3 linked regions of the Arabidopsis thaliana genome follow. The protein of the gene in region 1 interacts with the protein of each later gene in a pairwise test. Each region holds a gene or a part of one and is shown on either strand. Other genes may lie near its edges.

Evidence for each region.
Region 2: the proteins of GHR1 (region 1) and ALF5 interact in a protein complementation assay, tested with the Arabidopsis thaliana proteins (one large-scale study listed by BioGRID).
Region 3: the proteins of GHR1 (region 1) and EMB3135 interact in a protein complementation assay, tested with the Arabidopsis thaliana proteins (one large-scale study listed by BioGRID).

What each region holds. Positions count from the first base shown.
Region 1 is NC_003075.7:11,197,693-11,208,483, forward strand, and holds GHR1 (Leucine-rich receptor-like protein kinase family protein), read left to right. Parts: upstream 1-5,035; coding exon 5,036-6,035; intron 6,036-6,146; coding exon 6,147-7,673; intron 7,674-7,759; coding exon 7,760-8,346; 3' UTR 8,347-8,588; downstream 8,589-10,791. Other genes in the region: AT4G20930 (6-phosphogluconate dehydrogenase family protein), read right to left, coding at 935-1,022, 1,186-1,265, 1,373-1,457, 1,560-1,702, 1,834-1,929, 2,061-2,143, 2,273-2,423, 2,610-2,724 and 2 more; AT4G20947 (putative RNA-binding protein), read left to right, coding at 10,017-10,277. UniProt on the Arabidopsis thaliana protein: Receptor kinase acting as an early component in abscisic acid (ABA) signaling.
Region 2 is NC_003074.8:8,451,899-8,462,689, reverse strand, and holds ALF5 (MATE efflux family protein), read left to right. Parts: upstream 1-5,981; 5' UTR 5,982-6,101; coding exon 6,102-6,383; intron 6,384-6,667; coding exon 6,668-7,212; intron 7,213-7,371; coding exon 7,372-7,458; intron 7,459-7,558; coding exon 7,559-7,615; intron 7,616-7,713; coding exon 7,714-7,952; coding exon of another isoform or gene 7,953-7,993; exon of another isoform or gene 7,994-8,026; coding exon 8,027-8,145; intron 8,146-8,224; coding exon 8,225-8,329; 3' UTR 8,330-8,787; downstream 8,788-10,791. Other genes in the region: RNR2A (ribonucleotide reductase 2A), read right to left, coding at 116-230, 360-430, 520-682, 774-890, 974-1,039, 1,153-1,279, 1,593-1,641, 1,795-1,955 and 1 more; AT3G23570 (alpha/beta-Hydrolases superfamily protein), read left to right, coding at 3,082-3,229, 3,323-3,344, 3,520-3,646, 3,870-3,960, 4,083-4,172, 4,261-4,361, 4,498-4,638.
Region 3 is NC_003076.8:3,825,902-3,836,692, forward strand, and holds EMB3135 (harpin-induced protein), read left to right. Parts: upstream 1-5,598; 5' UTR 5,599-5,868; coding exon 5,869-6,732; 3' UTR 6,733-7,250; downstream 7,251-10,791. Other genes in the region: AT5G11870 (Alkaline phytoceramidase (aPHC)), read left to right, coding at 88-187, 258-378, 752-873, 977-1,098, 1,177-1,336, 1,435-1,462; AT5G11880 (Pyridoxal-dependent decarboxylase family protein), read right to left, coding at 1,905-1,985, 2,083-2,172, 2,247-2,369, 2,466-2,651, 2,743-2,904, 3,016-3,165, 3,260-3,434, 3,539-4,041; AT5G11900 (Translation initiation factor SUI1 family protein), read left to right, coding at 8,253-8,400, 8,732-8,830, 9,099-9,157, 9,365-9,446, 9,540-9,607, 9,895-9,978, 10,066-10,122; AT5G11910 (alpha/beta-Hydrolases superfamily protein), read right to left, coding at 10,659-10,791.

The sequences.
Region 1 (10,791 bases):
GCTCACTGCACAGAACCCCAAAAAACTAGGGTTTTTGAAAGAGATACAAGATGATGACCTAAATTCGGAGACTTCAGGTTTTAAGACAGACAACAGTAAGATGAAACAGAGGAACATGAGTCAAAAGCAACGATTTTTCGCGCGAATGAAGCAGAAAAACAGGTAGAGGTTGAAGTAACATTACGAGGAACGAATTGTCATAAACAGAAATGATGGTGTGATGAAGTCGAATTTCAGAAAGAACCCATAAGTAACGAAGCGAAACACAAGAAGAAGGATCAAAGACGTACCTTTGAGTGTTGAGGGAAACTAGTTTGAGCAACAGAGAGAATGAAAAAAGTTGGGAGATTTCAAATGTAGCGGTGTGCTGAAGAAAGCGAGGGTGGTTGTAGTCATTTCACATTGTAGATATTAACACAAACAACTGTTTCCGTAATTGTACCGGAGATTCTGCAAAAATGGTTTGGTTCTCTCATTGGTGACGAAGGTGAATCTTCATTAACTTTAGGTAAATAGCCAAGAATGATTAATAATCAAATTAAATACGAATATAGATAAGGAAAATGGTATATTTACGGATTGGTTAGCGAGTAACACTGTTAAGAAATGTAATTACACCATAGGTGACTATTGTTTGAATTGTTGTTGACTTTTTTCCGGGTAAAAGAAAAGTTTAGAACTTTGACTCTGAGCTTTGTTTAATCCTCTCTATAGGATCCTTCATGCTTTATTCTTCGCTGACCTCATAACTAATTGATTGGTGATTCCAAGAGTAATGTTCAACACCAGAGAGATGTTCTCAAACTAATTACAATTCACATCGCTTATTAACATCACAGCCTTTCCAAGACTTTTATTATTCTTAGCAATGAAAATCAACAATCTAAATGCACAAAGAAACCGGTTATTTTGCAGGGTCGTTGTTAAGATTGTCTCAGACCTCATCTTTCCCATTGTAAAAGTGTCTGAAAACACAAGAGAAGTCCTTCGTTTCATGTCCTTCCTCGCACATCTTCTTGTAACTGCAAAAACAAAAAAACAAAATCTTCAGCTTGATGTGTGTGCTTTTTGCTTCATAAGAAATTTCTACGTTGTTTCCATAAAGTTTCATTCACAAGCCTTCTTTGTTCACAACAACTCATAAGGAATAGAGCTTCTAGGAGAAAAGACTACTGAAGTACTCACATTTCTTGTGCTTTGGATATCAATGGGCTTTTGTGTCCAACTTCTTCAGCTGAGGCTGCTGCGAGGTTTAGGTCTTTAGCCTGCATTTCCAATACACTATATACATGAAAGACTTGTGTAACAAAAGAAATGTGCTTTAGAGACATTTTACAGGATCAATGATATAGAGATTTCTTAAGAAACTGACCATAAGTTTGGAGGCGAAACCGCCATTGTAATCCCTTGAAGATGGCACACCTTTCATCACTCCTGGAACTGGATTGTATGCGTCACTGCGGTTATCATAATATAAGGAAAGGAAGTTAAGAATTTGGTGTGCTTGCTCTTGATGAGAAGACGATTATAAATTTGAAGAGGTCATTTCATTTACTTACCTGCTCCAACAACGGCCACTAGATGTGTTTAAGACTTCTGTTAAAGTACTGGCAGATATTCCAAGTGACTGACCAAGAGCTAAGGCTTCTGAAGTGCCGAGCATACTCACGGCCATTGCCAGATTGTTACAAATCTTTGCGGCCTAAGTTTAAAACAAAACATGTCGTTTCTCAGTCTATTATCCTTAAGAATTGTAGAGACAAATATACCAAAGATCAAGATAATAGAGATACTGTAACAGAGTTACGGAAACATGGTATAAAGCGAACTTACAGATCCATTTCCTGAACCACCACAGTAGATGGAGGTTCTGCCCATTGACTGAAGTATTGGTCTAGCGGCTAAGTAAGCATCTTCGGGACCTCCAACCTACAGAACGTGCAGTTGTATCAATGCCATTGTGCTCTTGTAGGTATACAAGCACACATAATCTTCAAACTTGATGTTATATAAAGGATGTGATTCAAATAATGTAGAAGATAAGAGAGTCGTCAACATACCATGAAAGTAAGTGTACCAGCTTCTGCAGCAAGAACACCTCCAGAGACGGGAGCATCCAACATGACTGGCTTTTCCCAATTATCTACATCAAAGATGCTTGAAACTAGTGAAAATGAAACAATCTCGACTTGTTCACAAGAAGAACAAAATGAAGCTGTTGTTAACTCATAAGAAGAAACTAACTTCCTTCCAAATCCTATCTAAGCTTTACCTCTCTTTTCTTTCAAATTACAATTAGAAACAGCAAGTGAGATTTTTCGAGTTGTTTGTGGATCAATAGTGGATGAATCTATAAACAAAGCAGGTCTTATATCATTTTCTCCAAGAAGCAACCCATTTGTTCCTGTGTACACATCCATCACCTACATCAATCACAATTTTTTTTCCTTCATAAAAATCATCCAATCAATTGAAGATTAACATTCTTTCAGTACCAGGAGTAAACAACAATACTATCTCGTAGACTAGGTGCAGCTAATCATACAGCTAACAGGACGATCTTTCAAACTGTTTTCATATAAAACTATTGCTAAAGGTAAATAACTTACATGAGATGATGAAGGCAACATTGTAATCACAACTTCGCTATCTTGTGCAACTTCATAAGGAGTTTCTCTAGAAGAGACTCCCATTTCAGTGAACATTTTCATAACATCACGGTTTCTGAAAATTCAAACACAAGTATATGCACAAGAAAGTTAATCAAAGGAATCAACATTAACCAAATATGAAAATTGATAGGCAGCAAAACGCACTCAAAGTACATTACATGTCATGAACGGTAACTTTATATCCAGCTCTAATTAGATTATTCACCATTCTGAATCCCATATTTCCAAGTCCTATGAAACCAACATTCTGACAAAACAGCAAAAATGAGACTTCATTTACATAAATTTTGGGTACTGAATCAGACAAATTTTGCTGTTAAAAATCTAATCCAGACAACTTTTTTTGCAGAACTGATGAATTTAGATAAGTGGTCAAGATCAATAAGCAATTTGGCCACTAAAATTCTTATTAACTATGCTCGAGATTACAAAAGTTAAGATCTTTTATTCCAACTACCTTAAGGATCATGTTTTAGAACGTTTCAATAAAATTCTAGGTGACTTATGAGGAAAAGAGATTATGTTTTCTGATCATGAAGACAATTTAAAAAGCAGAACCTGGAATTGATTTGAATTTTGAGACGAAGAAGAGAACCGGTGGAGCGACCCAGACACGAAATTGGTTTTGAATTTAGAAAGACAAAGTAGAGTTTGCGCTCTGCGAATCGCCATTGATGAATTTCTTCAAACTCAGAGCAAGTTAACAATTAGCAAATGAGAGTGAGTTTTAGACGTAAGTGTGTAATCTCATCAAAACACTCAGATTTTTGTTTTTTGAATTATGACCCCTTAACTATTAATTTATTCTGAACCCGGACATTTACTTTCAACATTATCAGTAGAACCCAAATAATTGGTCTGATGCCCTTGTCTCTTCCGGTCTTCCCTAGTCAACGTAGTCAGCATGTGGGACCCATTTTCCTACGCGGTATTTATTTCGCTTCTACATTTTCCTACTAATTAATGTGGTATCAACTTCAAAAATATTTATTTGTCCGAATATTCATTACTATTTTTTCTGGATTGTTCAAAAAATCATGTTTCATTTACTACACATTTTCCTTGCAAGCTTTTAATATCTGTATTTTGGTGTAAATAACATTCACTCCGAACTCTCATTACTCTTTTTATTTTCCCTATTATTTATTTATGTAAATTCATTTATTGCAAGTTTCTACCAAAATTTATTAGAACACTGCGCAATTTTCGCTTATTTTCCCAATGCTGTAAATCTCTCTCACTAAAGGCAAGGACATAGACTCATAACCATATTGGATAAACCCTTTCACGTCCACCATGGTCACACTCACTAAAAACATTAGTGTAAGTAGCTTTTTTCATTTTTTTTGGATTCCTTTCCCGGGCCATTCCAGGCGGGTAATTAAACTATATTTTAAATCTTTCCTCACTGAAAAGACTATGAAAAAGTAAATTAATATATAATTTTCTTCTCGTGAACCCATGAAAATAATTTCTTGCTATTTTACTTTTTATTTAGGGTTTTTGATTTGGTGTCCGTTCACACGCTTCAAGACTTACCCTTTTACAAGGTCCTTGTCGTTCGTCACTGTCGAACGTGAAAACTAGCAAAACATTTTCTCTATCTTTAATTTTGTTTTGGCTTCTTTCTTTTGTTCTTAAACAGTGACAATCTTTTAAGGGTTTTTAATTTTTAAAGTGACCCACAAAGATTTCCCTCAGTTAGCTCAGTGACTCAGTCTACAACACTGTTGAGCTTAATCCAAAACCCCGTGCAGTTCATGAGCTAATGAACAAAATGATTCTGCTTTAAAGTTTTTGTCTTCCTTCTTCTTCAACTCTGTCGACATTGTTCTTGCAGTGAGAAGCTTTTTTCATCCCCGTAAGTTTAAAAATCCTCACTTTTCATTTATCTCTTTGCTTTGGAGTTAGGTTAGATCTCGGAATGGGACCCAAATATTGAATAGCCCATTTGTTCATTTAATGTTTTTTTCAGCTGATTCCCTTTGAGTGAAGATTGTCTCTTCTCACTCAGTAGCATTACTGCATTTTGTTTGATTGGGGTTTCTCAGAAGATTTGTTCATCTTAGGTAAAGTTTCTTTCTTTAGCTTCTGTTTTTTTTTTTATCAGAGTGAAATTTCTGGTATTGTTGATTTTTGCAGAAAGATTTAAACTTTTTTTTGGTAACATTGATGGGTTTTGTCTTATTTCATTATGTTTTATGTCAGATTTACTTGGGGTTCCATGAATTTTCTGCGTTGGTGAGCTGGAAAAGTTGTTGGGATTCTTCAAAAACTGTAGCTTTTTGGGGGAAAAGATTTGAAGTCAAGGAAGGATGAATCTTTCTAGGATTTTGTTACTCTCCATGTTTTTTCTATCTGCAATGGGGCAACTTCCATCACAGGACATCATGGCATTGCTTGAATTCAAGAAAGGCATCAAACATGACCCTACAGGGTTTGTCCTTAATTCATGGAACGATGAGTCTATTGACTTCAATGGTTGTCCTTCTTCATGGAATGGTATTGTCTGCAATGGCGGTAATGTGGCTGGTGTTGTTTTGGATAATTTGGGTTTGACTGCTGATGCTGATTTCAGTCTGTTCTCCAACTTGACAAAGCTTGTCAAGCTATCTATGTCAAACAATTCCCTTTCTGGTGTGTTGCCAAATGATTTAGGCAGTTTCAAAAGCCTCCAGTTCCTGGATTTATCAGATAATCTGTTCTCTTCTTCATTGCCTAAAGAGATTGGTAGATCAGTAAGCTTGAGGAATCTTTCTTTATCTGGTAACAACTTTTCTGGTGAGATTCCAGAGTCTATGGGTGGTTTGATTTCACTTCAGTCGTTGGATATGAGTAGCAACTCCTTATCTGGACCTTTGCCAAAGTCCTTGACAAGGCTGAACGATCTGCTGTACTTGAATCTGTCTTCTAATGGATTCACGGGGAAAATGCCAAGGGGCTTTGAGTTGATTTCAAGTCTTGAAGTGCTTGATTTGCATGGTAATTCAATTGATGGTAATCTTGATGGGGAGTTTTTCCTTTTAACGAATGCGAGCTATGTCGATATCAGTGGAAACAGATTGGTGACGACGTCTGGGAAACTGTTACCTGGTGTTTCTGAGAGTATCAAGCACTTGAATCTCAGCCATAATCAGCTTGAAGGTTCATTGACTAGTGGGTTTCAGTTGTTTCAGAACTTAAAAGTCTTGGATCTTAGCTACAACATGTTATCTGGAGAATTACCAGGTTTCAATTATGTCTATGATCTTGAAGTTCTCAAGCTTAGCAACAACAGATTCTCAGGTTCCCTTCCCAATAATTTGTTAAAAGGTGACTCTTTGCTTTTAACAACGCTGGATTTAAGTGGCAACAATCTCTCAGGTATGCTCTTGGCTTTATCTTCTACATAGTGGAAATTGTTATATGTTAACGGTGGCACCAAGAAAACTAGAAATCTAATATTTTTTTATTGGTTTTCCTTTTGTGTTTCAGGGCCAGTAAGTTCTATCATGTCAACTACTCTTCACACCCTTGATCTTTCTTCAAATTCACTGACCGGGGAGCTTCCTCTCTTGACTGGGGGATGTGTTTTACTCGATCTCTCAAACAACCAGTTTGAAGGAAATCTGACAAGATGGTCAAAATGGGAGAATATAGAGTACCTTGATCTAAGCCAGAACCATTTCACTGGGTCGTTCCCAGACGCAACTCCCCAGCTTCTGCGAGCAAATCATCTTAATCTTTCCTACAATAAGCTCACAGGCTCACTTCCAGAACGGATTCCAACTCACTATCCGAAGCTTCGGGTACTTGATATAAGTTCTAACAGCTTAGAAGGGCCAATTCCAGGTGCGTTACTATCCATGCCCACTTTGGAGGAAATCCACCTTCAAAACAATGGCATGACAGGTAACATCGGACCCCTGCCTTCTTCTGGTTCCAGAATCCGTCTTCTTGATCTTTCTCACAACCGGTTTGACGGGGATCTTCCTGGTGTATTCGGGTCTTTAACCAATCTTCAAGTGCTGAATCTCGCAGCAAATAATTTGTCTGGCTCTTTGCCTAGCTCCATGAATGACATTGTCTCTCTAAGCTCATTAGACGTATCCCAGAATCATTTCACTGGACCACTCCCAAGCAACTTATCTAGCAACATTATGGCCTTCAACGTGTCATATAATGATCTATCAGGGACTGTGCCAGAGAATCTGAAGAACTTCCCTCCGCCTTCCTTTTATCCTGGAAACAGCAAGCTCGTCTTGCCTGCTGGGTCCCCTGGATCAAGTGCATCAGAAGCTTCCAAGAATAAATCCACGAACAAACTTGTTAAGGTTGTCATAATAGTTTCTTGCGCTGTTGCTCTAATTATTCTCATCCTTGTGGCTATCCTCCTTTTCTGCATCTGCAAATCAAGAAGGCGCGAAGAACGTAGTATTACTGGTAAAGAAACTAATAGGCGGGCTCAAACTATCCCCTCAGGCAGCGGAGGTGGTATGGTTGTCTCTGCTGAGGATCTGGTTGCTTCAAGAAAAGGCTCATCATCCGAAATCCTCAGTCCAGATGAAAAACTAGCTGTTGCAACCGGCTTCTCTCCTTCTAAGACCAGCAATTTGTCTTGGTCACCTGGCTCAGGAGATTCATTCCCAGCTGATCAGCAACTAGCACGGCTTGATGTGAGGTCACCAGATAGACTTGTGGGAGAGCTGCATTTTCTGGATGATTCAATTAAGTTGACTCCAGAGGAATTATCAAGGGCACCAGCTGAAGTTCTGGGAAGAAGTAGCCACGGCACTTCTTACAGGGCAACGCTGGATAATGGAGTGTTTCTAACAGTGAAATGGCTAAGAGAAGGAGTGGCAAAGCAGAGAAAGGAGTTTGCTAAAGAGGTGAAGAAATTTTCTAACATTAGACATCCTAATGTTGTGACTCTCCGAGGGTACTATTGGGGTCCAACGCAACACGAGAAGCTTATTCTTTCAGATTATATATCGCCTGGAAGCCTTGCCAGCTTCCTTTACGGTAATGCTCCTTTCAATAAACTTCTCTAAGTATTATATGTATGTGCAGTATTTTTCATCAAGCTTACGGTTCTTGTTTGATGACAGATCGACCGGGCAGGAAAGGCCCTCCCTTAGCCTGGACCCAACGGTTGAAAATCGCAGTTGATGTGGCACGTGGTCTAAACTACCTCCATTTCGACAGAGCTGTTCCACACGGTAACCTCAAGGCAACAAACATTCTCTTAGATGGAGCAGAGCTAAACGCGCGTGTGGCAGATTACTGCCTCCACCGTCTCATGACACAAGCAGGCACAGTCGAACAGATTCTAGACGCAGGAATCCTCGGTTACCGAGCTCCCGAGCTAGCAGCTTCAAGAAAACCATTACCTTCTTTCAAATCAGATGTATATGCGTTTGGTGTGATACTTCTTGAGATCCTAACCGGAAGATGTGCAGGAGATGTAATCACAGGTGAGCAAGAAGGTGTTGATCTAACCGATTGGGTTAGGTTACGTGTTGCAGAAGGGCGTGGTGCAGAATGCTTTGATTCGGTATTGACTCAGGAGATGGGAAGTGATCCGGTAACAGAAAAAGGCATGAAAGAAGTTCTTGGGATTGCTTTGAGGTGTATAAGATCAGTTTCTGAGAGACCTGGTATTAAGACCATTTACGAAGATCTTTCTTCTATTTAGGAACAATGTTTTTTTTTTTTTTTATGTTTTGTAGGTTCCAATAGAGTTTGGTTCCTCTGAATGTGTTCTCCTTTGTCAAGTTCATGTTCTGTTTCGGGAGAAACATGTTCTTGATTCAAGGTACTAGTGTGTTGTGTCTTCTGTTAGTTTACTTTACATTTTCCCTGTAAAAAAACGAAATCTGCTCATGTCTCATGAGTGAATGAAATTTCATTTTTTCCCATTTATATTCTCTCTTCTTGGAAGTTGCTAAATTGTGTTTCATGTTCCGGTTAGACTTAACCGAGTCTTTGAATTAGGAATCTTAACTTAGATGTTACGTTTTGTATTATATATGATCTTTCTCCAGACCCTAATCCTAGAAACCCTAATCCCAAAGTCCGAATGGAAAGACCAATACATCTCCCGGAGGCTATATTGACGGAGATTCTAGCGAGATTGTCTTTGAGAAGCATCTATAGATGCAAATCGGTAAGCAAAACATGGAAATCGTCAATCAAAACATGGAACTGTTGATGCACGAATCACACAAGTACGAAAATGGGATCTCTAGGGAAGGAAGAAGAATCTTTCTATTAATGACGAGCCCGCGACTTAGGCGAATTGGACGGATTACAAAGGATGATTTCTTCAACAAGCATAAATGGAAAAAGAACGAGCCGATTGTAGATGAAAGACGAGCTTGAGGCCGGAAAACGATCTTGATATCCGAGGAAGAATAGAGTTTATTCGTTTTATAGCTGAACCTTGGAACTTATTTTGGGGTTTTGACTTGGGTTTGGGCATTGGGCCAAGTAGGCCCAATCCGACCCCTAACAGTTGCCCCCCAATCCTGATGCATCGTTGATGACGTGGATCAGGATTTCAGGCGCTCGAAACTCAATCGAAGGAAGTAAAAAGTCGCGCATGGGGAAGACGCAATGTTTGGTTTGTCTTTCAATTTTCTCAAGGTTCGGAGATCGAAGCGTCGCATGGCTTTCAAAGTATAGGCTGCTATCACGACGATGTGCTGTCTCGGTGATAGTCAAGCGAGACGACAAGGAAGGTTAAAAGGGGCCGCCTCGAGTGTTGCGTGACCGTCACATTTCTGAAGAGCCTCCTGGATCAAAGTGGTCGTCTGGTGTTCAAGTTGGGATGTTCGAGTCATTCGAAAGTGGTTCTTTGAGGGGGAGAGGGAAGAGACGAGGGTCGTTAATCGTGATGAACAACGAGCGAGTGTTCCGAACTCGTCCGATGCGTTTTGCGTGCCAATGATCATTATTGGAGTTATCGTTTCGTTTGAAGGAGGCGTTCCTTTTGCTTTTAACTCGTGTTTGTGCTGAGCTCGCTGTTTGAGAGGCAAGACTGCTCAAGCGTTGGCCGATCTAGACAAAATCTTGAGCCGAGGTTGAAAAGATGAGTGGAAAGTATAATAATTTAGTTGAACGTGCTTTTTCAGGGAGAAAAGAGCTTTGGGAGCGTCGGTTGGAGTATGACAACTTCGTTCAAAGGTCGGCGGTTGATAAGATGGCGGAGCTCATCGAGAAGCGATTGGATCGGATCAAGACCTATATTGACGATACGAAGGTGGCGGAGCCAAAGTTTTTCAATTCAATCAAGTGTATGGAAACATCAAGACTCTCGAGGCGTCGATCGAAGGCGGCGAGGTGGAGATAAAGTCGGATGAGACGATGTCGAGATTAGAAGCGGATGTTGAGGAGTTGAAGGACGAGGTGAAAACCTTCAATATTCATCATCTCATGGTCGGAGAATTTGGCGTTTATACTATATTTACCGAGCTCAGGTCTGAACTTTGTTACTCTGCTTTGCTTCAGAGTAGCAAGGAAGATGACGATCACGCAGATGGACGAGATGGTCAAGAAGGTCGAGTCGGGGAACGAATCATTGATCAGGTCGTAGTGCAAGATGAGACCACGGGCGTCGACGGCTGAGATCGTAGAACCTTCGTTATTCGTGCGTTTCGTTCAAGGGTTGAGATGGGCGAGTACGACTTTATCGGTGCGTCATTTAAGATGAGCGCATGATCGATCTTCTGCTGTGATTCGAATGTGCAAGTGCAATCGTAGGCAGCTTTAGTTCGTCGAAATGGTGTAAGCATCGAGCTTGTACGGTGAATTCTTCGGGGGGTAACGGCGTCGAGATGATTTGTATAGCGATTACGGAGGTGTAGGTTTGGCATACATATATATATATATATATATGTGTATATATACCCCCCCCTTTTTTTTTTGAAAAACAAAGCCGGTGTGGAACTCGATCATTTGAGAATTTTTGCGAATCGGCGTGGCGGTTGAGTGTGCAGGCGTTGACACGAACGTGCGAACGGTGAACTCGGTGCTCATTGCGAATGATGCGTCGTTTTTGAAGCGAACGAGATGAGTTCGGTTTCAAACCTTTAGGACGTTTCGTTATTCCTGGGAATTCAGTTTAGGGGAATGCCCCGGT
Region 2 (10,791 bases), on another chromosome or scaffold:
TACTACTACTAGTCTTACTAGACTACTACTAATGGATTTGGGCTAAAAAGAATGAGAGTGACTCATAAAGAATCTAAACTTTGATGAGCCCTTCCAGATTCGATGGCGGATTCATTCAAAAGTCCTCTTCAGTCGTGAATTCGTAGTTCTGATTTCCATTTTGGAGGTTCGACATAACTGATGCCTTCTGATACTCTCCCACTCTCTTCTCAAAGAAGTTTGTCTTTCCTCTGCAAATTTGTCATAAAAGTACCAAAACCAACTTAGTCAATGAAGATACACTACTGTTCTTGATATGTTATCTTAGCATTGTGATCCTAGAGATGAGAGAAACTCAGCGATATATATCGACTACTTACTGCAGAGATATGAACTCCATCCAGTCAAATGGATTTTCTGCTTTGTATGTCCTTTCACATCCCAAGGTAACCTACAGAAACCAAGACAAAAACCATAGGTTCGAATAAAAAGCTAATTCATGTTTCAAAATGCCAGAAACTAGAGGGAAAACAATTTTACCAGAAGACGGTCAGCGACAAATTGTATGTATTGACTCATGAGGTTTGAGTTCATTCCGATCAGATCACATGGAAGAGCCTTGCAGACAAACTCTGTCTCAATTTCCACTGCCTCGTGAACAATTTGATAAACTTTCTCCAATGGAAGCTGCTTCTGCAGCAAACTGCACAATGTATGATAAGGAGTGAATGGATAATAGAGATGGCTCAATAAACACAGTATGGCTTGCTGTTACCATACAGACCTATTCTTACCTGTACAAGAGACACGCAAAGTCACAGTGGAGCCCCTCGTCTCTCGATATAAGCTCGTTTGAGAAGGTCAAACCCGGCATAAGACCCCTCTTCTTTAGCCAGAAGATGGCACAGAAGCTGACCAAACCACATGAAATTCTTATACACCAGAGCTTATATAGGATAAGTTCTCAATGCCTATGATTTCAAAGACGTCATACCTTCCTGAGAAGAAGATTCCTTCGACACATGCAAAAGCGACCAGCCTCACAGCAAACGACATAGGACTGCAGAGAATGGTTGGTTTACAGACAGATAACAAATTAGGATTATCTTTTACAATTAATCACATGAAATTGTTTCTTCAACCAGAAAATTAAACACAACAACAATTAGTTACCTTTGAATCCAATCTAAACACCATTTTGCCTTCTTGGATATACAAGGAATGGTCTCGATAGCATTGAACAATCTATCCTTCTCCTTCGAGTCCTTTATGAATGTCTCCAGAAGTAAGCTGTACATCTCTGATATTTGTCATAAGAAAATATGTCATAAATCAGTTTCTTACAAGATAATGACCCAGGTCATATTCCTATCTAAGGATATTCCGTTAAATCTTTAAACAACCAAACCCTATCAAACTCCTCTAGGGTACTGGTTACAAGTCTTATACCTTGGTCTACAGATATTTATGTTCATTCACCATGACCAAAGTTAAACTTTTTTGTTTTCTTCTTCTCACTATGACTACATGGAAGGTAAACAGCAACATATTATCCATTAAGAGGATCGTTTTCATCTTTCCCTAATGAATATTTCCACTAGCAAAAGCCTTACCTGAATGAATGTTCTCCATGGCTATTTGAAACCCATAGAAAGCACGAGCCTGAAACATCCAGAGAATTGACTATCTCAAATCAAACAGCAAGTGTCGACTTCAAGATATTACATTGCCACAGCATATCAAGTCAGACAACAGTACTAAAAAATCATTTAAAGCCACAGTTTTTTCAATATTCCGCAAAGTGAAAATCCTCACCTCTGGAACTTGGACATCATTCAAGAATCTAGCAGCCAAATTCTCCAAAACAATACCATCTGACGCTGCGAAAAACGCCAGAATATGGCTGATAAAGTGTTTCTCTGAATCCGTCAAGGCCTCCCACTGTTGCACATCAGTGGAAAGATCAACCTCTTCAGCTACAATTAATTCAAAGAAGTCAAAACACACAATTGATGATAATATAAGACAGAAACAGAACTATCACACACATGAAACATTCTCTGAACCAGAATCAGAATTACAAGTAGAAAAACATCTTCTTTTCCACAAACCACAATCAAAATGGAACATCTATATTACATTAAAATCCTAAACAACGAAAAGAAGAAGCTTTACATTTACAAAGTCACAAACTTTCTTAATCAAAACTGTATCCACCACAACTCCGAGAATAGTTCAAACTCAAGAAGAACAGAGAACATAAGAAAATTTCAAGGAAAGAAAGAGGACTAACCAGTCCAGAAACTGGCTTCAGCCTTCTTATACATCTCCCAAATAGATTTGTACCTAATGGGGAACATAGTGAATCTCTGGTTCTGAGCCATCAAAAGCGGCTCTTCTGATTCACCTTCTTCCATGTCTCTTCCTTGACCTTCCTTAAGCGAACCCATTATCTCGAATTCGTCTCTTAATTTTGAGGTTTTTTTTGATGTGGAGAGAAACAGAGGATTAGATAGATAAGGAAAAAGAAAATGAAAACCCTAAACAAAAACCCTTGGAAACCGACAAGGAACCAACAAAAGAAGTGTTTTTGTTTTGTCTGTTTGGGTGGCGCACGCAAAACGATTCCTCGTGATCTTCCGACGTGATTTTCAAGGCAACACCTTGTGGAAGGAAGAAAAAATATCTGACCACATAAATTGTGAATTAAACAAAAAAAAGTTAAAGATAATTAGAGGAAGCCACATAAATAATTTGTCAAAAGAGTTTTTGTTTGTTATGATAAAATTGATAATTGAATTAGAATAATCTTTGATTGTTGGGTTTTGTTTTTTACTCTGCATAAGTGCATAGAATCATTCAATCATTCAAGGTAAGGTATTACCCCATTTAGCAAATTTATTCTAAGAAAAATTAACATTGCAAAAGTTAGTTTTTATTTAACGCACGTGAGTTTTTTTAGGTGGAAGAGTAGATACGCACACGTAGTGTAGATAACTGGTGTGAAAGGTCAAAGGTGGTTTGGTGGCTTTACTTTTTAAAACAGAGGTCCCAAAGCGCGAGAGAGGAGTCGTCTTGTTTTTTGGTTCGGCGAAAACAAGAATGTCAGGTCATCAGTGCACCGAGAACCCGCCTGATCTGGATCCAACTAGCGGGTCGGGTCATGTCGAGAAACTCGGTAACCTTGACACCTACGTCTGTGGTTCCACTCATTCAAAGCTTGCTGTTCTTCTTGTCCCTCATGTTTTCGGTAAAAAAACCTTTTTACCTGTCCCAATTACGTTTGATGTTCTTTCTGAATTTGTTGGTTTGATTTGAGAATCTAAAACGTTTTCTTCTGCAGGATATGAAACTCCAAACCTGAGGTGCTGTAACAGAGAATCCCTACTGAATCAGCTTGTCTTTTGTTGATTGTTAGACAGTCTTTTACTTCAGATTCTTTGTTATAATGAGTTATAGTTTATATCACCTTTTATAGTCACTCGAAAGATGTTTCATTCTTGCTGTAACTTGTCATGGATATTGTTCTTCCCTTGATAGGAAACTTGCTGACAAGGTTGCAGAAGCTGGATTCTACGCGGTGGTTCCTGATTTCTTCCATGGAGATCCTTATAATCCCGAGAACCAGGATCGTCCGTTTCCTATTTGGATGAAAGATCATGAACTAGTTAGTTTCTTTTCCTTATTAAATGTTCAATCCTCAATTTTTCTCAAAAACATAAATGAGTCTTTGTTTCCCAGCATGAAATAGTCCAAGTATCCCAATAATCCCTTATTATTAGTGCCAAAATGCTATCACTACTTATTGTTGATTGCAAAGCTAAGATTAAGTCAGTGTTTTTGTACTGTTCTGTGTCAATGTATCTGAAACCAGACTATGGATTTTGTAGGAGAAAGGGTTTGAGGAGTCAAAGCCAATAGTGGAGGCCTTGAAGAACAAAGGCATAACTAGTATAGGAGCAGCAGGGTTCTGTTGGGGTGGTGAGTTCGGTTTTCTTGTTCCCATCATCACCACAGTTTTATGAAAATGTTTTCCATGATCTGTATAATAAGTCAACCATGTATATTAGTTAACACAAGACTTTTTGTTTCTTATTCTTTAGCAAAAGTTGCGGTGGAACTAGCTAAGGAAAAGCTTGTTGACGCTACTGTTTTGTTACATCCTGCTCGCGTTACGGTGGATGATATCAAGGGTATTTAGATCTTTGATATGGCCACTCCTTACTTGATAGTTCTCTCTCATTTGTTGTGATTATGACTCTCACTATATGATTGAAGCAGAGGTCAACCTTCCAATTGCTGTATTAGGAGCTGAAATCGATCAAGTGTCTCCTCCAGAACTTGTGAGGCAGTTCGAAGATATTTTAGCTTCTAAACCTCAGGTACTTTGCTTAGCTCTATGTCTTTATGCAAGGTAATATTTTCATTACTTACAAAAACACAACTAGTAGTTGATGTGTTTTTGGAAGTAGATATCTTCTTCAAGTAGATAATTGTGAGCAAAGTGATATGTTTCAGGTGAAGAGTTTTGTGAAGATATTCCCAAGATGCAAACACGGTTGGACTGTTAGATACAATGAAAATGATCCATCAGAAGTTGAAGCTGCAATGGAAGCTCACAAGGACATGCTCGCTTGGCTCATCGACTATCTCAAGTGAGAACTTGAAACGGTCTAAGCTTTGGTTTGCACATAACCAGCGGAGACCCAAAATCATGTCTAGTACTCTTTAAATAATAAATGTAACTAGTAGTATCTTCTTTAATTTATGTTGCTTTGTCATGTTTGTGGCTAGTGTTCTCTGTTTCGTTTCAGTCTGAGAAACATCAGTTTGAGTTAAACTTAAGACGTTCTAGAAATATCTTAATGTTCCTTTGGACCTTAAGCCTATTTATGTTGTTGATATTGAAATAAAGACATCCCCAAATTCAGCTATATAAATCTTTCTAAATTGATTTTTCTCTATGACTAATGAATTAGCTCTACTTTAAAATTCATCTGCATTACGATTTTTTTTGTTTTTTGAAAAATCGACCTCTTAGTAAATCATAAAACCTTGACAAAATTAGCAATTCTCAACTAATGTTTAACAGATAGTTGTTAGTTTCACCAGCTTCTGTTTAATTATTAATTTGATGATTAAAAATAATTTTTTTTTCTAAATATGGATTCTTGTATTGATATTTCAGATAATTATCTGTCTTTGTTGGTTCTAGTTGATAAGTAACCATGGTTCAGAAAAAAACAAGAAGATGAGTAACCATGAATCTGACTAGAATTGGATCCTAGTACTGGAGATGAGCTGTAGAATCAGATAAAAATTGTAAACAAACTCTCTTCCAAAAAAACAGAATCAGATCAATGAAATAAACGAGGCATGTTTGTGAGATGGAAACTTCTTCAATCTTATGGCATCAGAGTCCTCGATTTCACGAATCAGATACAAACATAAATATTTGCTCAGAGGGTACCATATCTGAACTCTGAGTTTGAGTATGGAAAACGTTCTTAAATCTAAAAGTTCTCCTATAGATTTGGTAACTAGGTGACGACGTCTTTACGATACTCTCTCTAAATGTGACTATACAACTAATGAAAACTTGTAAAAAAAAAAAAAAACTCAAATACAAATTTTCATTAGTTTTACTTTTGTATTTTAATACCAATCCTATGCATGTCTTGAAACAGGTGAATTGTTGTAATATAGAAATATTTCTTAATTGATGAAGTTTTGTTATTCACAATTTTAACGATAAGTTAAGTCCAATGTTCAAAGTTTCCTGAGGTGGTAATCGGGTGGTCATGACTCATGAGCTGCCTGATTATAGTACATTGCAAATTTAATTGGTTGACTTTTTAAGTCATCATTTTGTTTTAAGATTATTGATTCTGATCCAAAAATAATTAGTCTGAGGATGTAATAAATTGAATCTTTTTTGGCATAATTAAAAAATGTATTTATATTGCATTATAATGTGGCAGTAAATGGCAGAGAGGCCTCTTGTGTTGGTATTTAATATCCTGTTTCTGCGTACATCTCTTATTTAATTCCTCACCTTGCCAAATCACAATTCTCCTCTTCAAGTCTTAACCAAACCCAAAGTCCTTCAACAAGAAAATCCAATGGCTGATCCGGCAACGAGTTCTCCGTTGTTGGATGACCATGTAGGTGGAGAAGATGAAAGAGGAAGGAGATCAAGATCATCAACTTTGGTTCAAAAAGTGATCGACGTGGAAGAAGCAAAAGCTCAAATGATTTACTCTTTGCCAATGATACTCACCAATGTTTTCTACTACTGTATTCCTATAACTTCTGTGATGTTTGCTTCTCACCTCGGTCAACTCGAGCTCGCCGGTGCCACCCTTGCCAATTCTTGGGCCACCGTCTCCGGTTTTGCCTTCATGGTACCATTATTTCCTTATTTCTTTAGCTTTTGTAATTTAAAATCTTGTTTTGATGTCTACTTGCAAAAGTTACTAAAACCCACTTATTTCCATCTCAATAATAGACTCGAACTCGAATTCAAGAATCAAGATTGTTTAAAATGATTTATTCGACATAAATGACTAGTAGATGATTTTAGGAGTTGTCTAAATTTTTATTAACGACATCTTCAAGAACATTTGGCCAACGGTATATATGTATAAGTGCTTGTTTATGACATACATTAATGTCTCTTTGTTTTCAGGTAGGGTTAAGTGGATCACTTGAGACATTATGTGGACAAGGCTTTGGTGCAAAAAGATACAGGATGTTGGGAGTTCATCTACAATCATCTTGCATCGTTTCATTAGTTTTCAGCATCCTCATCACCATCTTCTGGTTCTTCACAGAATCGATTTTTGGACTTCTCAGACAAGATCCTAGCATTTCAAAACAAGCTGCACTCTATATGAAGTACCAAGCTCCCGGTTTACTAGCTTACGGGTTTTTACAAAATATTTTGAGATTTTGCCAAACACAATCGATCATTGCTCCACTAGTCATCTTCTCGTTTGTTCCCTTGGTGATAAACATTGCTACCGCATATGTTCTTGTTTATGTAGCTGGGCTTGGATTCATTGGTGCTCCAATAGCTACATCTATTTCATTGTGGATAGCTTTCCTTTCGCTTGGAACTTATGTGATGTGTTCAGAAAAGTTTAAGGAAACATGGACTGGATTTTCGTTGGAATCATTCCGTTATATCGTAATAAACTTGACATTAAGCCTCCCTTCTGCTGCTATGGTATGGTAAGTATATATGTTTCTTGACCGTTATATCTAGCCTAGTGGTTTATATTAGTCAATGTAATCATACCCGGGGTCAAAACCAAATAGTACATGTTGACAAAAAGAAAAAAAAATATCATTAGGCTTGTTGAAGCTTAAGAGACTATATTGTTGCAACAGTTTGGAATATTGGGCATTCGAGATTCTTGTGTTCTTGGCAGGAGTGATGCCAAACCCGGAAATCAATACTTCTTTGGTCGCTATATGGTAAAAAATATATATTTTTAATATCACTTTTTTGGTAGTTAATGTTTTTTTTATCTATTATATCAAATTTCTCAATGTGTGTTATGTTAAATAAATTCAGCGTCAACACGGAGGCGATTAGCTACATGTTAACATACGGACTTAGTGCAGCTGCAAGGTTTGCTCATTTTACTAGATAGTTTCAAAATACTTTGTATTCCATCTTGCTGAAAAATATTGTTTCGGAAATGTAAAAATCGAAAATAAATATTGCAGTACGCGTGTGTCCAATGAACTTGGAGCAGGAAATGTAAAAGGCGCAAAGAAGGCGACCTCTGTGTCCGTAAAGTTGTCTTTAGTTCTTGCTCTCGGCGTTGTAATTGTTTTACTCGTAGGTCATGATGGTTGGGTTGGGTTATTTAGCGATAGCTATGTGATTAAAGAGGAGTTTGCATCATTGAGGTTTTTTCTTGCTGCCTCTATAACTCTTGATTCAATCCAAGGAGTTTTATCAGGTAAAAGATCCAATATATATTTTTTTTTTTTACTCATCTAGGGTGGTAAAAATCATTGTTAAATTTATTTACAGGAGTTGCAAGAGGATGCGGATGGCAGCGTTTAGTCACGGTTATAAATTTGGCGACATTCTACTTAATTGGAATGCCGATTGCCGCCTTTTGTGGTTTCAAGTTGAAGTTTTATGCCAAGGTATTGCTTGATTCTATAATAAGATTAGTAAATTTTGTTTGATTATGTTATGTTTGATTCATTATTTTGATGGCGACAGGGTTTGTGGATTGGTTTGATATGTGGAATATTTTGCCAATCATCATCTCTTTTGCTTATGACAATATTCCGGAAGTGGACAAAGCTGAATGTTGCTACGGTCTGAAAACTCTAGTTACGTTCCATTTTTCTACGGAGGCACATTTATTTTCTTAAGCAGATATGGAATCAGTTATCAAGATATATATTTGGAACTCATGATCATTTTCCAAACGCTTAGTTAAGATTTATCTTTCTTAGTTTTCTTTTTATTCTTTTGGAGTGTAAGGGAAATAATCTGGTTCACAAAGTTGGTCATGGCTTGAATATTACAGCATCATTCTAAGCTATCTTTGAAACCAACTTCTTCTTAGTTGCGTTCTTCAATTTACTAGACTAGTTTCGTTATCGTCAGCAAGAAACTTTTCTCATTTTCTATTTCTTTAATTCCTCGTCGTTTTACTATTTTTGGCGATTTTTTTGGCATATTGTGCTAAAATCAGAAATTTTGATGCTTTCTATGTAAACTTATTTCTCTTGCTTAGTTACACACGTCTGGTCTGGTGTCTCCATATTATCCTGTTTGCTTTCTGGCAATGAGCTAGCTTAAATATGAGATCTTTGTCCACACGTTTTCTCAAAATAATAGCTTTTCTGGCCATTAATTTTGATAGAATCTATCTCGTCTCTTCGAAATAATGATTTTCTATCTATCTCGATAGGATTGAATCTTCATTTAAACCATCAATTAGTAGAATGCTCAGACAACTTTCTGGCCAGATTAGTCAGACAACGTGTGTTTGGACTCTCCTATCATGTTAAGTTTCATGGGATTCCAACTCAAAACCAATTGGTAATTAATGAATTATCCAATGTCTTTTATATACTACTCAAATCTTCTCTCATCTTTATGATGTGTGATCATTCTCCACAAGATTAAGTTTGATCATACAGTTCATTTAGGCTTTTCCATGTCCTAAAGGAGGTTATGGCCGTTATGAATTTACTTAACACAAATCTAATAAGTTTTCCATTATTTAGCCATGAGGCGATGCTAGGATGATTAGTAAGCCTATTACATAATCTTATTTTCAGATAGAGTTTAACATAATTAGGTGATTGACTTGAATAGAATCTACGAATGCCATCAATTGATTTACTTGACACTGTTTCCATAGAAGTTTAACATAAAACAGTGTCATGAAACTTAAGTAGTTGTTATTTGGTGGGCTAAGGAATAGAATCTAGGATTGTGCTTAATTAAACCTCGTTATGTCACATGGTTCGATCTCATCTATTGTTTTGCTATGTTGAACTTTCGTGATACAAATCTTTCTAATTTTGAACTGAACTTCAATTCCTAATTAAACTCGTTTTTTTGTGTTTCATTTATTCGTTAATGTTAGTCGTCTTTTGTGTTTCATTTATTCGGTCATGTTAGTCTTTCCCTAATATAGTGTAAATTCCTAGTTTAACAATAGTTTCACTATAGCACAATGGTTAAATTCATCTTGATTGATAACTTTCCTAAATTTGAAATCCACAAACCAAATTCATTGCCTATCAAAAGAATTCGTCTCTCATATTCGATCTGTGGCATAAGAAAACTTTTTTAAAAAGAAATATGTAATTATTTGTGTAAAAATATATACAGTGTAAATTCATTGCTTATCAAAAACATCCGTTGTAGTACAAGGGTTTAATTCATCTTGATTGCTGTTTCTCTAGTTTAATCGATTGATCGCTTTCTAGGTTTGAATCCTGGCAGCGGAAACTTTTTTAATTTATCTGTTGTTATTTGTGTAAATATATATACAGTGTAAATTCATTGCTTATCAAAAGATCCGCTGTAACACAAGGATTTAATTTATCTCGATTGTTGTTTCTCCGGTTTAATTGATTGATGGCTTTCCGGATTTGAAAAGTTTCCGGGATCGAATTTCGGCACTAGAAAACTTTTTTTAGTTTTTTTTTGTAATTATGGGTTTCAATAGATAGATATACAATATATAGTTTAAATTCATAATTTATAATTCTCCCCTTACAAAAGATTAAAATTTGGATTACATTTGAGAATAAAGGGGAGAAGCAACATAGCATGTAGCGGAATGGATCAAGCTAAAAGACGTTTAAGGGAGAACACAAGTTTATGAGACTCCTAGATCTCACATCGTTCACCCTGACCCACATCGACCTTGTGATGGTCCCATGCAAGAAAATGGCAAATCACACGTCGATTCTTACATCGGGCAGAGGTAGATCAAAGCGGGAAAGTTGAAGAATCATGCAAGTATCAGATTGGCCTCCACATCGACATAGGCAATGTCATCCCACAAATTTTGAAGTGCCAGCATGGTTTAAACTTGTTTTTGAGGATTTTTAATATAAGTTTGAGTTTTCTCTAATTTGTATAGAGACTCAAGAGCCTTGTTCTACATTTCGTTAATGAAGATGTCATATTTTCATCAAACTAGTGAAGATTTTCTCATCTTGATACATCTCTTCTCTTAAATTATGTTTATGCCTCCATTTACCTTTGCTTTTTTGCTTCTTTAGTTCAGTCTTGTTATCAAAGTTTTGAAGATTAAA
Region 3 (10,791 bases), on another chromosome or scaffold:
TCTCTTCTTTTTTTTTTATCTCTCTCTGTCTCTGTGCATGTGTAATAACGAGAGACAGGTGTTTTGTGTGGGTTTGATGATGAACAGGAGTGCCTAATACATTGAATGTGATGACCAACTTTCCCTTTCTTATCGTTGGAGTTCTTGGTTTTGTTCTTTGCATTGGAGGAAGCTTCTTCAACATAAGGTATCATTCTCTTTCCCTTTTTTGAGTTTTATTTTGAGTTAGTTTAACAATTTGAGTTGTTGTAATGCAGTTTAAATGGTGAGATCTGGGGATGGACACTGTTCTACGCAGGCATTGCAAGCTTGGCTTTTGGTTCTGCTTTTTATCATCTCAAACCTGATGACAACAGAATCGTCTGGGACACTTTGCCTGTTCGTTTTTCTCACTTTACTTTTCTTCGGAACATGAATCTTCTTTCAGTTATGCATTCATTGCTTCTTGATTAGTGATGCGGTAATTGTATATATTGACAAGCACATTGTGAATACAAAAAGTTGAAGAATCATCTTATAGCTATGTAAAAAAGCTTAGATTAGACTTCATGGTTTTTCTTGGATTGGTTGGTTCTACAAGCACATAGTGAAGTGAACACAACTCTTATAGCTAATGGAAAGAAGCTTTAGAGATTTTTCGGGTGTAGAGTTGTGGTTTTTGGTTTTATTGAATGGAAAGTTGTTTTTGCTCATCATTTTTGATGGTTGGTTTATGAATAGCTGTTTGTTGATTAATGACGGTAAATTGCAGATATTGATTGCGTATTCGTCGCTTTTCTCTAGTTTTTTGGTTGAGAGAGCGGGGGAGAAAGTGGGACTTAGTTGCCTCATCTTGCTTCTATTTATATCATGTCTCAGTGTTGCTTACGCCAGGTAACATTAAAACCAAGAAAGCATTACCTCCTCTGTATACATATATGTTCATGGTTTTAGTCAGGTTTCGGATTGAAATTATATGTGTCTTAGTTGATGGCAGAGTGTTTAATGATCTCCGGTTATGCATGACGTTCCAGTTGATACCGTGTCTGGTGATTCCCGTCATGGCGGTTTTGTTACCTCCCAAATATACACACTCTAGATTCTGGCTCTGGGCAACAGGTTTTTAACTCAAAACCACATTTGCGGTTTTCTTATTAGAATCCACGGTCTTCTGATATCTGCTTATCATGAATGCAGCGGCGTACACTATTGCCAAGATTGAAGGACTTGCAGACAACAAAATATACAATGCAAATCGATATATCATCAGTGGGCATTCACTGGAGCATTTGTGTTCTGCCGTGGCTACGCTTTTACTTACCATTATGCTTTTGTATAGAAGCATTCGGTTTAATAGGTAACGTTTTTTCACTGACTCTTTCTCTTTGATCTTTGAGTTCCTTGAAACCTGAGAGGATTTTTCACTTTTCTTTTGTATGATGGAAACTAAAACAGATTAGGTGATCTCAAAGGCCGTCCTTGACATTCATTACTGACTCCTCAAGTTTTTTTTCTCTTGTATTTAGATGCTTCTGGATTCTTGTATTACAAATTTTGTTTGGTTGCTAGATAGATTTTGACCCATGATCCCACTAAAACATCGTTAGCTTGGTGTAATCTTGGTTTCTGGTTCTGAAACAGCTTTGGCTTTAAGGTTACTTATTCAAGTCTTATATATGTGTTTGGACAATGGACAATTTTACATGTAGTAACTAAAAAGAAACCAAAAGAATAATCATAACTCACAAATACACCTTTTATTTTCGGTCTTGACTTGTGACCTGTTTCTTATTCATATGATCACTTTATTGAGGACTTTAAATCATAGCACAGAATGTGGAAAAATCCAAGACAGCAATAGCATTATAGAAACGTAATCATACAATTCATCTAAAATAGCAACAATGATGAGTAAATCTCGGAGTTCATAGTCCTTCAAAGAAACGTAAATGGTCATCGAATGTCTCAGCATGCCTGATCTTAGTGATCGACCCATCTTCTTCAACCTGCAAAAAGAAGAATATAAATCAATCACTTTCTCTCAGGATCTTGACCCTCCGCTAAATTTCCGCAGAAAACGATAATAAGAAACAGTATTGTTACCCAGTATTCCGGGGGACGCATCTTGAGATTGTAAGTGGAAGCCATACTCATACAGTATGCACCAGCGTCATGAACCACCAGACCAGCTCCCTGTAACGTATACAAGAAACTAATTAGATTCCATATTACTTGAGCTGCCAAACATAATCAGATCCTTATAATACCTGTGGAGGAGTGGGAAGCTCTCTGTCTTTGCCCAAGAAATCAGCAGATTCACAAACAGGACCCACTACATCGAATTTGGTAACCTCTGCTTCAGGCGGTGTAGGAGAGACCAACTCAATATGCTTTTGCGTTAAAAAACAAAAACAAGAGGATGTTTAGCTATAGTTCAAAGGGACTAGAATCTGCAGATGCTGTTGTGAAAAGTATATTTGTTTTACCTGATAGGCATCATAAAGACTGGGACGGATAAGCTCAGCCATACTTCCATCAATCACTATGAAGTTTTTAGTTCCATTCGTCTTCACACCAGTTACATGGTTGACGAAACAACATGTGTTTGCAATCAGTGATCTCCCTGGCTCGATTATTAGATTCAGGTCTCGTGAAAGAACCAGCTCTCTTACCTATGAAACACATCCAGGATTCTAAAGATTCTACCATTCCAGTACTTTTGAGATCAAGATAAAGAAAAGAGTTTTGAGCTGTTGTTCTTACGGTGTTGATAAGATCCATGGGTGTAGGAAGGACAGCGCCGGCATGATAATAATCTATCCCTAAACCACCACCAATGTTCAAGTAGCTAACCTCAAAGCCTTGACGCCGGATTTCATCAATGTATTCAATCATGAGAACCGCAGCATCTCTGAATATATCCACCTGAAATAAACAGAACATACGTGAATATGCAAAGCTCAAGACTCAAGAGTTAAAATTTAAGAGATTGATTACATTAAAACACAAATTAAAAGGAACTATAGTCGGAGTTACCTTTGTAATGGTAGAACCAAGATGACAATGAGCTCCAACAAGCTTCAGCTCTTTGGGATGTGCCTTCACTTCATCCAGAAACCATTGAAGCTTCTCGTTCCTAATACCAAACTTCGAGTTCTTGTTCCCAGTAGCTACATATGGATGCACCTAAAATGGTAACAAACAGAAAAAGCTCATTCATATCCAAGCTAAAGAATAGATTCTAGGACATGCTGCTAAAAGATTGAAAATTTAACCATACCTGAGGATCAACATCAGGATTGATACGCAACAACACATTGACCTGCTTACCAGAAATTCTTGAAGCTTCCACAATGTTATTCAAGTCAAACTCACTATCAACATTTACGAAAACACCTTCTTGAGCAGCTAGAACTAAATCTTCCAAAGACTTTCCATTTCCATTGAAAATACACCTATTCATTTCATCCACACCGAAGACATGGTCAAAAACTACACATCAACATGAGACCAAATAAAAAAATATTCAAACTTTATTATTGGGGATAAAGAATCGTACTTTGTGGGATCGAAACCAGCAAGAAGAGCAAGCCTGAGCTCATTTCCACTAACCAACACAGCACCACAGCCCAAACTCCTCAAATGCTCCAAAATCTTGAGATTGTTATTAGCTTTAATAGCGTAACCAATAACAGATCTCACTCCTTCCAAAGCCTCTTTATAAGCCTCAAGGTTTCTCGTGATCTGAGGTTTGCTATATAAGTAAAAGGGTCGTTTCTCGACTGTTTCCATGATATCTTGAACCTTGGTTCCTTCGCAATAGAGAAACCCATCTGATGATTTCTTGAAACAGTGGTCGAAAGAGGAAGCAGATTCTTTCGTGAGGGTTTTGGTGGAGTTTTGGGAAACGGCGGCTTTGACGGAGAGGCGTTTAAGTGGCTTCAATGTTGACTTGAGAGACAAAAATGGGATTCTTGAGAGTGAAGTCTGATTCAATTGGTACTGATTTAGGGTTCCGCGGATTGATGAAGGTTGGGAGAGAAATTGAGTAACTGCCGCCATGGCTGGAGGATTTTTGTTAGGTGTGCGACTGTTACAGTAACACTGAAGGGTTTAGAAAAAAAAAGTCAACAAGTTTAAGAGTAGTTCCTGTCGGGTCCGGTTTTAGATATCCGACAATATCGAACCGGTGGTTATAGTCGAACCGATGGTTAAAAGAAGAAAGAACAAAGTCGATTTTAACTTCTTTTGGATATGGTTTTTGTCCTTGGGGGATAGTTTCTGCTAGTGTTTGTTTTGTTCGGTTGTGTTAGTTGTGTGTTGTAATAATCTTGATGCTTAAGGGGTCACCTAAAGCAGTCATGGAAATCTAGCCCTATCTATAAAAATTTGCCATTTCTCATCACCTACCAATACTTCTATTTGTTCGTATTATGCGGATATTCAGAGGATAATGTAAAACATTTTGTTGAATGCTAACGATGAAGTGCTCTATCTAGCCGTGCACGTTGTGGAGAAGTTATGTTTTAGAATCCACATTTGTTGAAGTTATGCTTATCATACTCTCTTAATTATCTATATCTATTACAAAGAGCAAGGAATGTTCTTAGTTAGGATTTGTTTTGTTTGGCAACCATTGCTTCTGGTTATTTGTGCTCTGCCTCCTTTGTAAGTTAGGATTTGTTTTATTCTTACAACTTTGCTTCTCTCGTCATACTATATAATCTCTGACTATGTATGTAATTGCATTCATGTCGATGGTTGTGGGATGTATATTTAGGTGTTTGACTGTAAGACGTTAAAAACAAACTTTACCATAAGTTATTGGGATGTCTAGACACTTTTATGGTTTGGTGAAGTAGGCTCAATGTTTTGCCCTTTATGTTTCCATTGTTGATGTTTATGTACCTTGCTGGTTGGAACCACTTGTGGATGTTTCCGACAATGCTTCTCTGTAATGCAGTTATCTTTTAATGAAATGTGATCGATCTTGAGTGTTATTTATTTTTATTTTTTTAAAGACTTTATGGTGTGGACACTTGACCGGGTGATAATTGGTAACTATACTACATAGTTAGAGAGCTCTTGAATTATTAATCACGCTAAATCTTGGGAATTGAGAGCTCGGAAGCAAAGGTTATTAACAAAATTCAAAGCAGAGCAGCATTGCCGATGAAATAATTATTGACTTGGGATTTACTCTCTGAAGTCTGAACCAAATCGAGATTATTCTAATTATATTTTTAATTTCGGATCCCTAATCTATTAATACTCCAATATCTGCACTCATTTAATTATTTCCTCTTTTTTTAACCTGCACTGACTTAAATTCAAACTTATTTCAATTGCGTGCACACTTTAGTGAACTACTACCACTATCACTATATGTGTCGGTGGATTATTATTTCCGTCATTTTGATATTTAATTACATCTTTAATTGTTACTCTTTTTTGCCCATTCTTCTTCTTCATTTGATTACATTATACTCTATTGTGAATTACTAAATTCTGAAAACAAGAAAAATTTGAGTACACAGGACACATCTTAGTATTACTCGTTACTAAAATACTACACGTGTAAATAATTTTTTCAGAAATAAATGGGGCCACTTTGTAAGTAATAAATCAGCTTACATTAATTATTTTACCACCCAATAAAAAGATTCCACAGACTTGGCATGGAAGTCATGAACATTCACAAAAATCTAAGAAAAACTGAAAACCGAAAAAAAAACAAATTATTAAAAAGCAATAAATAAATAAACTCAGAAAAAAAAGCTATTAAGATTCCACAAAAACTCTGTATTGTCTCTTTCTCTCTCACTATCTCTCTCTCTTTTGTGAGCTCAGATCTGACCAGAGAGAAAGAAACAACCGGAGAAGAAGAAGATGACTGACCGAGTCTTCCCAGCTTCCAAACCACCAACCGCCACTAATGGAGCTCCACCAGTTGGTTCCATACCACCTCCTCCAGCTCCGGCGACTGTAACCAGCAACGGAACAACAAACGGAATGGCTAATCAGAAACCTCAAGTCTACATTCCAGCTAACCGTCCGGTTTACCGTCCACAGCCTTACAGTCGCCGTCATCACCACCAATCTCGACCAAGCTGCCGACGAATTTGCTGTTGTTGCTGTTTCTGGTCGATTCTGATAATTCTGATCTTAGCTCTCATGACTGCAATCGCCGCCACCGCGATGTACGTGATCTACCACCCTCGTCCGCCGTCGTTCTCCGTCCCGTCAATAAGAATCAGCCGCGTGAACCTAACAACCTCCTCTGATTCCTCCGTCTCTCATCTCTCTTCCTTCTTCAACTTCACTCTAATCTCAGAGAATCCAAACCAACACCTCTCTTTCTCTTACGATCCTTTCACCGTCACCGTTAATTCAGCTAAATCCGGTACGATGCTCGGTAACGGAACTGTTCCTGCTTTCTTCAGCGATAACGGTAACAAAACTTCGTTTCACGGCGTGATCGCTACGTCTACAGCGGCGCGTGAGTTAGATCCGGATGAAGCTAAGCATCTGAGATCAGATCTGACGCGCGCGCGTGTAGGATATGAGATCGAGATGAGAACTAAAGTGAAGATGATAATGGGGAAGCTGAAGAGTGAAGGAGTAGAGATCAAAGTGACATGTGAAGGATTTGAAGGAACTATACCAAAAGGTAAAACTCCAATTGTAGCTACTTCTAAAAAAACTAAGTGTAAGTCTGATCTTAGTGTCAAGGTCTGGAAATGGAGTTTCTAGAGGGAATTTTGATAATTTCACAATTGAAATTTTCTATATAATCTTCTTCTTTTTTTCTTCTGGATTTTGTGAAACTTTTGGAATGATCCAAAAGGAGATTTCTTCAGTTGTTAGTTAAAAAATTTCAGAGAAGAGTCAGAGAGATAAGGTATTGTCAAGTAGAAGAAGGCCAGAGAATTCACGGCTTCTAAAAAAATTTCTTGGATTTTTGTTTTGTTTGGAACTTTCTTACTTGAATTTATATTTAATGGATACAGAAATATAAATGTAATACTTGTAACGAATGGAGTACTAAAAAGCTGGAGATTGCAGTGACTGCGTGATAGTGAGCATTAAAGTGAGATCGTAGTAGTAATAAACAGAACCTTAAAAATGGAAAAGATGCGTGGGGTTTGTGAGGAGAACAATGAAGAACACGAGAGATGTGTTAAATGTTAGATGTTGAACCATCTATCGCATTATACAACACCATTTAAGAGAAACGTGAATCGTCTTTAGTACTCTATAAAGCAAGCATATATTCTAGCAGTTGCATGTTATAAAATTAATACAGATCGATCACTCAATTCATGAATATGGTTTGATATAAACATTAAATTAAATGTCATGCTGTCATAAAAGATGAATTATATGGTTCATTTATCTAAGAAACTTTTTATTAACTAAGTAAGTAAAAGTTTGAAGAGGTCATTTGCAAGTGACTCCGACCAGGGATAGACTCCTGAAATCTTATCCAACTATGGACGACGACTTCATGTCGGTGTGTCCAAAAATGAGGAAAAGGAATCTGCCCAAGGGACAAATGGCATTACCCGAAACGGCAAAGAAGAACCGCAGGAAAAAAAGTTGACAATAACGTATGAGGTGTGACTGAAAAAGAAAAACTTGTAGTTTGGTTTATGACGTAAATGAATAATTTGGAAATGACAATAAGTCATCATATCTAATTTAGTGCATGACCTCCAACGTCGGCATATATTTGAGTCGGTGACCGGATATCCAGTACAAAGTAAAGTACAAACCAAAAAGAAAGACAAGACAATAAAATGGGTAAAGAAGACTTGCATACACGGACGTGATAGAAGAAGACATGCATAGTATAATTCTGACTTTCTGAGACCTTTAATGAAAATATTTGGCAATGTATTTCAAGAATAACTATGGCATATCTCTTAGATTTTGTGAAAATAGCCCATAATCGAAGAAGATGATAGTAAAAAACCGAGGCCCAAATAGAACCCATTTACCCAAAATATCAAAAAGATTAGTCGTTTGGCAATGAAATTAGAAGCCCAACACATGTCCTAAGCCTTTTTCACTTTTCTTCACTGTTTGGTTTTCCGACATCATTAACTTCGCGGGGGCAAGCGACTAACAGAAGAAAAAAAGCGACTAACAGAAGAAAAAAACGAAAAGGATTATTCCGCCGTAGAATCCATATTCTCTCCCTCATCACTTTGATAAACAAGAGTCTCATTTTTCGCTTTTCCAAAGGGAACAACTTCTTCGGATTATTATCTATGGCAGAGAAGCTTGAGCCGGTGAAGGTTTTGTACTGCGGAGTTTGCTCTCTTCCAGCGGAATACTGCGAATTCGGTCCCGATTTCGCTAGATGTAAGCCCTGGCTCGTCGAAAACGCCCCAGATCTCTATCCTGATCTCCTCAAAGGTACCTTCAAACCCTAATCTTATAATTTTCGACCGTTCTTCAGAACTCGTTTGATTTTAGGTTTGTAGTGCCTCAAATTTTTTATTCTTCCAAGGGCTAAGCGATTCACACAATCGAAAAGATGAAGATTTTTGTTTTAACTTGAATTATAAATTTATGGGTCTGTTCAATTTGGTGATTATGTTATGTTGGATTGTCAATGCTGTTGTGTAGAGTTTTACGATTTTTTGGTACCCTTTACACTTCTGTTTTACTGGTTATGACAATGAGTTTAATTTGATTTAAGACTTACTAATATTTGAGTTTGCATACGAATTTTAAATTTGTCCAGAAGCAAATGAGAAGGCAGCAGATAATGTTTCTGACAAACTCCAGTCGGTGGGAATCTCTTCAGGTGGTGCTGATGGGGCACCATCTTCAGCTCAGACTGGTAAGGAACCGTGTCTATGTGTGTGCTTTTTCTTGTTCATACTATTGCATACACGTATTTGGTACTGTACATCGCTATGAAAAATTCCAAACTGAATGGCTGGAAACATCTTTAATGTATTTGTTTTTCTGGGGAATCTGCAATCGAACTGTTAAGCATGAACGATAAATATTGCTAGAGTCACTGATTGGTGATGATGCCTATGTTGAAAGGATTTGGCTTTTAGTTGAATTTCTACTCAGTAATCAAAGGATCTTCCAATATATAGGAGGGACATCCAAGAAGGAGGAAGTGAAGCGCCTACCTGGGGGGAAAGTTAAAAAGAAAGTAAGTAATATCGTGTAAATTTCGTCCCACCTTACTGGAATGTCTTAATGCATTACCAAGTTTCCATGGAAACGTACAAAACAACATGCTTGGACATTCCCTGACTCACATATCTACGTTTTGCTTTCTGGTTTCCATTCCTTCGTCTTTGACGTGGACATGTTTGTCCGGTTGTCTAATTTTCTAATGTTTATGGATGCTATATAGGATCGACAGGAAGTTATCATTGAAAAGGTTGTACGCAACAAACGCAAGTGTATCACCATTGTGAAAGGACTAGAACTGTTTGGTGAGTTATTTACTTCTTTGGTGATATATCTTAGTATTCTTATTGCCTGGAACAAACCTCATTCATTTTTAACCCTTGCAATTTGTTCGTCAGGGATAAAACTCAGTGATGCCTCTAAAAAGCTTGGTAAGAAGTTTGCCACTGGAGCATCAGTTGTCAAGGTATGTATGTAGAGGATGAATCAAAAAGCAAATATGTATACGAGATAGTTTTATGCTTAGACAGATTAGTGGTATTCGGTTTTGTTCTAGCTGATATTGTTGAGCAGAGCTCATGGTTCTTTAGAGTTTGTAACTGCTTTAGACCTGTTGTGGCTCTAATTTCAAAATTTGGTGTCCAGAGAAAAGTATGAAATATTCGTCCCTAGATACATGACTTTTAACCCCTTAGTTTGTTTTACCTCTCTCTTCCTCTTATGCTGAGATTTTTCTAATTTATTGTGTTTCAGGGACCAACTGAAAAGGAGCAAATTGATGTTCAAGGGGATATAATCTATGATATCGTTGAATTCATTACAGACACTTGGCCCGACGTAACATGACTTCTCCTTTTCTAATTTGTTCTTGGTTCTCACTGCATTCGTTTGAAAACTTATGATTGTTACTTTGCCAATTTCTAGGTACCTGAAAGATCCATTTTCTTCATCGAAGATGGGAAGAAGGTTCAGGCTGGTTGATGATCACCTTTGTCCTCGTTTTTTGGCATGGCGGGTTCATGTAGACGAGCTAGTTCCTGAGTTTTCCTATGTGTTTGGAGGAAATCGCATCTTGATTATAACTTTCAACGTAACGTATAGTTGGATTTATCATACTATTTTCTTATTCGGGTTGCGATAGTTCCAGACATGTTTCTCCAAACATTTCTCTTTTTGGGGGTCTTAATATTTAAAATGTGTCTTGAAATGAACGCGTTCTTCATCCTTGACCCATCATCAGCTTTGTAAGACCAAATATACTCTCATTGGCCAAACCGGTGATGATCTCTCTTGTCAGCCAATAGTTTAGGACAGCCAGATTCGAAAACTGATCCTAAACAAAGCCTAAGAAAACAAGTGAAACTTTTATGATCGATTTTGTGTTGAGATATTTAAATAGACTGTATACTACCAACAAGATTTTATCCATAAGAACATTTTGGTTTCTAACTGTGTTTATCAAACCGTTTATTATCACCCCCGAGACCGTGAGACATTAAGTAACTCAGCAAAGCGATTTAAATTCGCGATGTAATAGGAACAACTGATCTCATGGAGTCTTGGTTACTTGTACTGATATCACCTGACTCATCATCTTTCTTAGGATCCAATTTAAAGAATGAGAGAACGATTGAAGCAAGCTGATGCTGG